Oryctolagus cuniculus: one gene and its partner. The protein of the gene in region 1 interacts with the protein of each later gene in a biochemical or structural test. Links are inferred from orthologs where the notes say so. Each region holds a gene or a part of one and is shown on either strand. Other genes may lie near its edges.

Region 1 (3,558 bases):
CCTGCACTCAGGTGGGAGACCCACATGAAGCTCCTGGCTCCTGGCTTCCACCTTGCCCAGCCCTGGTCGTTGGGGCCATTCAGGGAGTGAACCAGCAGATGGAAGACCTCTCTCTCTGTAACTCTGCCTTTCAAATAAATAAAATAAATCATTTTTTAAAGATCTACTTTATTTATTTGAAGAGTTACAGAGAAAGAGGTAGAGACAGAGAGAAGGTCTTCCATCTTCTGGTTCACTCCCCAGGTGACCCCAACGATCAGGGCTGAGCAAGGTGGAAACCAGGATCTTTTTCCAGGTCTCCCACATGGGTGCAGGGACCCAAAGACTTGGGCCATCTTCTGCTATCCCAGGCCATAGCAAAGAGCTGGATCAGAAGAGGAGCAGTCAGGACTAGAACCAGTCCCATATGGGATGCTGGCGCTTCAGGCCAGAGCTTTAACCTGCTGTGCCCATAGCTCTGGCCCCAAAATAAATCTTTAAAAAAGAAAGAAATAGGGGAATCCTGTAGGGTGAGGCAAAGGGATGCTAGACAGTAACTCTACGAAATATCAAAGTAAGCGTCATACTTGGTGAAATACTGAAAATAGTTCCTCATAAGTTGAGAACAAACACCCATCACCCATCATCTTGCTGTAATAATAATTGCCAATTTAGGATCAGTCTTGTTTCCTCTATCCCCACCTACTTACCCCTGCACTCCAGATTATTTTGAAACAAATGCTAGACATTATAACATTTTACCCATAGTGTGTATTTGAATGACAATAATTTAAAATATTTAAGTATGACTATAATTGTCATATTTAAAATATTTAACAATATTTCCTTGGTATCATCAGATGGCTCAAAATTTCCTGATGGTCTCTAAGTTTTGTGTGTATTTTTTAAATTTATTTGTTATTAGCAAATTCCAAAAAGGGCTGTTCTTTCTTTCCCCTCCAACCCTATTTATCTTCTAAAGAAATCAGGTTGGGGCCAGCATTGTGGTACAGTGGGGAAAGCCATGGCCTGTGATGCCAGCATCTCATATGGTTACTGGTTCATGTCCCAGCTGCCCCACTTCGATCCAGCTCCCTACTCATGTACCTGGGAAAAGCAGTGGAAGGTGATCCAAGTACTTGAATCCTGTCACTCATGTGGGAGACTGGGATGAAGCTCCTGGCTTCTGGCTTTGGCCTGGCTCAGCCCTGGCAGTTGCAGCCACTTGGAGAGAAAACCAGCAAGATGGCTTTCTCTCTCTCCCTCCCTTTCCTCCCTCTCCCTTCCCCCATCCCTTCACCGCCATCCCTGTAACTCTGCCTTTCAAATAAATAAAACTTTAAAAAAAAGAAATCAAGTCATTTCTGCAGTTTTCCCAGAGCTGTATTTTTTAACTGCTTTCTCATGGAGCTGTTTAATATGTTCCTGTGTTCCCTTTATTTTTTATAAATTGGTAGGTAAATAATTTTAATATGAAATTGTCATTATAGTCAAAACTCATAAGTTAGTGCTTAATTTTGTTTCACTGCTTTGATCAGTGCAGAATATGTGAAACCCTTCTGTCATCCCAAGTATGAAGCAGCATATTCAGTGGATGAATCTGTTTTTAGTGATATTAGTATTTTAACAGTCTTTTCTCCTTTGTTGTCTTTTTTCAAATATTATGTGTTAAATACCAATTTCTAAATTTGTTTGCTTTAGGGAAATGAATAAGCGTCTAACAGAAGAACAAGCCAGAAAAACTTTTGAGAGAGCCATGAAACTGGAACAAGAGTTTACTGAACATTTCACAGGTCAGAACCATATAGGACAGTGCCCTCTATGGCAGCATTTTGCTTGGCAGCCACATAAACTAACCCAAATGGATTTGAACTGTGCCCACATCTCCTAGTGCTGTCATTTTCAGATTAAACCTGTGTGGTCTGTGCTTCTGTGCTGTGGGAAATTCATTTAGCCAGAGCAGTAGTGGTGGGAAATATTGAAATTTAGTGTTTAAGACGTTGTTAACTAGGACAGCATGTACAGGAAAAGTCATACTTCACCAAAGAAAAAATAATTTAGGTTGATTTTCTTTTCTGAAACTCTGCTTTTATCCTTTCTAAATTTTAAGTCATTTTTTCCAGCTTTATTGAGGTATAATTGACAAATATGTATATGTCCAAAGTACAGTATGATTTGATATATGTATACATTGTGAATTGATTACCACATTCAAATATACACATCTGGCCAGCATTGTGTAGCAAATTAAACTGCCTGCAACACTGGTATCACATATGGGTGCCAGTTCAAGTCCTGGCTGCTTCACTTCCAGTCCGACTCCCTGCTACCCTGGGAAGGCAAAAGAAGATGGCCTAAGTGCTTGGGCTCCTGCATCTGTATGGAAGACCCAGATGAAGTTCCTAGCTTCCGCTTGACCCAGTCCCAGCCATTGCAGCCAAATGAGAAGTTCTCACGTTCATGCTCTCTCTCTCTTTTCCCCTCCCCCCCCTTAACTCTACCTTTCAAATAAATAAATATTTAATAAAAATATTTTTATGTTATACAACAGAAAAATTAATGAAATGAACAATTTTTACTAAGTAAGTAATACATAAATGGTGACTTCCCGGATGAGTAACTGTTACCGAGATTTGGCTCTGTTTCACCAATAATTGTTATGGCAAAGAGAGACGATTAACAGAAGTTCTAATTTTATCTGTCGTTACAGCTATTGTACAGGGAGATACGCTGGAAGACATTTACAACCAAGTAAAGCAGATCATAGAAGAACAGTCTGGTCCTTACATCTGGGTTCCAGCCAAAGAAAAGTTATGAAGACTGGTGTTGCTCGGCTTCTCTTTCCACAGTCTCGTGTTCTTCGACACTTCTTTGCCTTTCCTCTGGAGTCTGTCTTCAGTGCTCCTTTCCTGTTGAATCATGTCCACTCCTCATGGTCTGCAGTTGCACTTAATTTTGACAAATAGTCTCCTTCAGGTTGCACCATCTGCATTTTTCTATGTCACTGTTGGTTTGTGGCCATTTTTTAAAACTGAAGATGAAATGGCCTGACCAGCTATTAAGGGTTTTGGGAGATGTGGAAATTGTGGTAAAATTCCTTAATGTTTAAGGGAAAGTAACTTTAAGAGATTTTCAGAAAAGCTTTATATACATTCTTTTCAAATTTCAATATAAATGAAAGAAAAGTGGTTTTAATCAGTGATTTCATAGACTTTGAGCAACTATGCACGCTTAACTTTAATAGCATGGTTTGGCCAATGTGTTAGCTATCAAGTTCTTTTCCCAGTTGACTTCTGTTATCAGAGCAGTTATTTCCCTATAGACATAAGAAAAAAAATGTGGTTTTTTTATTTCAAAATTAATGTCTGAGTTAACTTTCATAACTTCACAAGGGATATTCATTTTTCATAAGTGTTCTCAAAGTTTTGTTGTTCGAGGGTTTTTTCCCAGTACATTTATTAGAAATAACAATATTCAAACATTTTTAATCTACTTGTGCAACACTATTTTTAGTGTCTTACAAAAGTTGTTCACATATAACAATCATCACGTTTTCTGAATTGAGGACACGTTTAGGTG
Region 2 (4,270 bases), on another chromosome or scaffold:
CCCCTCCCTCCACTCGGGCCCCCAGCTCCTCCCCGGCCCACCGGGTCTCCGGGCCTCCCTTCCTGTCTGGGGGAAGCCGGCGGGCTGCTGCAGGGACCCTCCAGCCAGCGCTGCCCCGCACCCGCACCCCCCAACACGCGCTCCGGCTCCGTTTCCCACCGCCGCTAGTTTCCTGGTTACCATGTTGCTGGTTGTCATGTCGCGTCCCTGTCCTCGTGACTCAGTAGTCCCCGCAGAGGGGCCCCTCCTCCTCACACCCCCCTTGGCACTCGCCCCCGCCTCCCCCAGATCCACATTAAGAAGCAGCCGCCCTGTGAGCCCACACGGCTCCTGCCCCCTCCCGCTTAGCCTAAAGCACAGAAATCTTTTCGCAGCATCTCCCAGGGCTGCTTCGCCCAGAGTTCCCGCACACATCCGCGAAGATGCTGCCAGCCTGCGGCCTCGTGCGCGCAGCTCGAAGTCCGTCCAGGTCCAGTTCCCCAGGCTCAGAGAGGTCAAGCCAGCTGCCCAAGGACAGCCAGCAGAAACCCTAACCCAGCTCTGAGTCACCTCGGACAGCTCCACCTTCTCGGGAGAGGACCCTTTTCAAGGGGAACCCAAGGGTCCACGAGGTACGGCTCCCAAGCCACAGGTCCCTCTGATTCCTGGACACTCCTGTCCTAGGGCAGTGTCCCTTCACCCTGCCCCTGGCCACGAGCTGCTCGGCCCCTAAAGGAAAAAAATCCTTACTCCCACCCGCCCAGCCACTCCCCAGCCCAGCGCCCCCCAGTGGAGGGCAGTGGGGCGCGGAGCAATGACCCCATTCCACAGATTTGGAAGTTGAGAGTCAGGGAGGGAAGTGGCTCGCCCAGGGCACTCCATCTCAGCAGCTGAGCTCACTTCAGGAACCCGAATGCAGGGTATATGAGGCTCTCTGCCCAGTGTAGACAACCCCACAGAGGGCCCCCCCACACCTTGGAACAGAGTCGAATGTTCCAGACTCAGCCCTCCCGGCTCCAGCGTGGATGTGGATCCACCCAGGCAGGCTGACAGCCTCTGCTCGGGCCCCTCGCACCCCTCTTCCATTTGTTCCAGCCAGCGCAGGCCAGGCAGGGCCACCATGTGACTCCGGGGCCCCTCAGGCCCCCAAACCCTAGAGCCCTGGAGGGCACCGGACTGTATGTGTGGAGGAGGGGATGTCACACACACACACACACACACACGAACGGCTGCAGCCCCTCTGGGTTCCCCCCACCTGCTGCTGCCAACCCACTGCTCCGGAAGCCCTCCATGGTGAACTGAACCTGGGCGCCGGGCCCTGCAGCCTGGGCAGGGCACAGGAGTGTGGGTGGGGGCCCGTTCTGCAGGTGGGGGGAGTCTCACACCTCTCTTGCCTGCGTGACGGAAGCACCACTTCTCCCTCTGCCCAGCCTCGGTTCCCACCCTGTGAACTGTGGGTCCCTGCCCGTCTGCCCTGGAGTGGCCCGGCACACAGCAGGTGCTCAAACGTGCCAGGTGGGGGGAGGTGGGAAGGAGACACCCCCACCTCCACCCCCTTGCCCCAGTCACCTGCCTTGAAGCTCTGGGTCTGACAGTGGGGGTTGGGGAGGTGGGGGTGGGCGGAGGCGGGAAAGGGTCACTGGCCGGCCAGGAGGTCAGGGTCTCCTCCAGTCACCTCCCCAGCCGCCACCCAGACCGCCACGCTCTCGACGGACACGCGGACAGCCCGCTAGCTCCTGGGAAGTCACGGGACCGCGCCAAACGCGCGCCGGGACCCAGGTCAGGGACAAGTTGAAGAGCCGTGGGGGCCAGAGCGGCCGGGCTGGGACAGACAGACACGCACGCGGCAGGACAGACGGACGGACAGCGGCCGCGGAGGGCGCGCGCCCGGCTTACCCCGGGGTTGAGGGTCCGACGGTGTCCGGGCGGCGGTGAGCGGGCGCTACATCCCACGGCGTCCGCGCGGGCAGCGGGGAGTCCCGGCGCGGCTCCCCGCGGACGCGGCCGACCGGCCCGCGCCCTCCCCGGCTGCGGTCGGTCCGTGCGTGGGTCTCGGGACCTCCGCGCCGTCCTGCGCCGCTCCCCGCGGGCCACCCAACTTTCAGCGCTGCCCCGCGCCGCGCCCTCGGCGCAGCCGGGGCGTCAGCATCATCCGGCCCCGGGTGCGGGCTCAAAGCGCGGGGCTCCGGGGGCGCCCGGCCCCGCCGCCGCGCCTCGGCCGCCCCCGCCGAGAGCTCTGTCGGTCACCGGGTCCCGCTGGCGCGCGCTGCCCGCTCCGCCGCCGGCCTGGGGTCACCCTCCCGCTCCCGCCGCGGGCTCGGCCGCCCCCTGCCGCTGCTGCTCCCGGCTTCGCTCCGGCTGCGCGGGGGTCTCTGCCCTCTCGCGGCGCCGCCCGCCTCCCGCGCTCTGCCCGCGAGGTCCGGGTCTCCGTCTCCCCCGCGCCCCCGCCTCTGCCGCGCCTGTCTCCCCCGCGCGTCTCCAGCGTCCCCTCCGCGCCCCGCGCCCGGCGCTCTCCCCCGCCCCGCTCCGCCGCCGCGTCCCCGGCTCTCCTGGAGCCCGAGCTCCCGGCCCGCGGCGCGCCGAGAACTCCCAACTCGCCGCCTGCCGCCCGCTTTGCGAGACTTTCGCCCCTCCTCACACGTGACCCGCGCCCCGCTGCGGAGGCCACGCGCCCGGCCCGGAGCCCCGGCGGCCCGCGGGGCCCGACCCGGCCCGGCTCGCTCAGTCTACGCGGGCATGCAACCCGCTCCCGCGGGGCCTGCGGCGCCGGCCGGGGGCAGGGGCTGGGGGGCTGCGTGCCCCGCTCCTGCCCGAGATCCTGCGCGGGTTTTCCTCCTCGCCCCGGGAGCGCTCCTCCCAGAAGCCGCTCCGAGAATCCGCTCCCGGGTTTTGTAGCCCCCCCAGGGGCAGGTGGGGAGGGTTCCTCCGAGCCTGGAGCGGGTGGGTGGGAGCCGGCCAGTCTGGAGTCCCGTGGGCCCGGCCCCCTCCTCTTGGCGCTCCCCGTTCCGTCCCAAAGACCGGACAGTGAGGAGCCCTGCGCACCTCCTCTGGGAGGTCGGGCAGCCCTCCTGGAGGGACCCTCACCACCGTCTCGGCAGCGCCAGGGCCGGGAGAGTGACAACCAGCGGGTCAGAGCTCCCAAGGTCACCCAGACGTGGCCAAACGCCAGGCCCGTGTCGTCTGCGGTCCCCCCAAACCCGTCTTACTCAGCGGTCTTCGTAAAGGAGGGTCCACACCCTGCCACCCGGCCCCACTGCCAGCGAGCCGGTCCGGCTCCCCAGGCACTCCGGGGACCCTCCAGCCGCTCCTTTCAGGAGCCGGGCCAGAGTCCTGCTCCCCCCAGGGTGGCAGAGAGAGGACCCCTGGGGGTAGACAGCCAGGAGAGCCGCCCTGGCGCCCCAGAGCAGACAGGGAGACTGGGGTGGCTAGCGGAGAGCTGGCTGGCTCTGAAATGCAGTCTGGCTTCTACTCCAAGCTGAAGCCCAGGGGGGAGTCCAGCACAGGTCACACGGAGCACCAGGGTCGTGACCTTTCCCTTCCCCCACCCCAGAGGACCCAGCCCCAAGCCCTGCCGGCTGCATGCCCACACGGACACCCTGGTCCCCACAGCTCCCAGAGCCAGGGGCCCACACGCGCAGGGACCCCCACCGCCTTCCCCTGAGAACCCCTGCTCTTCTCCAAGCCCAGCCCCGTGCCCCTTCCCAGAGAGGCCCTCCCGATGCCCTCAGAGAGGTCATTCACTGCGTGCCAGGCCCCAGGCTGGGCATGGGCATGGCTCTGGCTTGGTGAGCTTAGCAGACAGGCCAGCCTGGGCTCCAAAGGACCTCTGCGTGACCTTGAGAGAGACTTGACTGGACCTGTCTGCAAAATGGGGGCCCTCCCCTCCCCCTCCTGCAGAGGCAGGTTAATGTGCAGCTCATAGTAAGTGCTTAGCAAACGTGCTGTCCCTTCTCCGCGCAGGCGTCCACAGGGCTCCTCTGGTCCCGCGCCTGTCACAGGCAGACACCAGGGGGGCCTGATGCTGCCACATCATGCTGCTCCTGGGTGAGCAGATGGGAGGGGGGCTCCAGCAACCTGACGTGCGCTCCTAGCACACCTTCCCGTGGTTTGCGGGCAGGCCGATGCGCCGAGGCAGATGACCTGTGGAGGAGGGGGAGAGTGGAACAGGGCGTTGTCTCACGGGCTCAGTCCTCCGCTGCTTGGTCACTGGGCAGGAGTCGGGGCTGGGCGGAGGGATGCTCACCTTGCTGGCTACCCTGGGGGCAGCTGCTCAGTCCTGTGGCCATGGACT

The links. The genes of interacting proteins can lie anywhere in the genome.
Region 2: the proteins of DLG1 (region 1) and KCNJ4 form a complex in vitro, tested with the Homo sapiens proteins (2 studies listed by BioGRID and IntAct, with this or other methods). The link is inferred for Oryctolagus cuniculus from reciprocal best matches to the Homo sapiens genes DLG1 and KCNJ4.

The regions. Positions count from the first base shown.
Region 1 is NC_091435.1:83,512,871-83,516,428, reverse strand, and holds part of DLG1 (disks large homolog 1), read left to right. Parts: intron 1-1,680; coding exon 1,681-1,772; intron 1,773-2,689; coding exon 2,690-2,796; 3' UTR 2,797-3,558. UniProt on the Homo sapiens protein: Essential multidomain scaffolding protein required for normal development. Recruits channels, receptors and signaling molecules to discrete plasma membrane domains in polarized cells.
Region 2 is NC_091442.1:115,108,534-115,112,803, forward strand, and holds the start of KCNJ4 (inward rectifier potassium channel 4), read right to left. Parts: upstream 2,812-4,270; 5' UTR 1,876-2,811; intron 1-1,875. UniProt on the Homo sapiens protein: Inward rectifier potassium channels are characterized by a greater tendency to allow potassium to flow into the cell rather than out of it.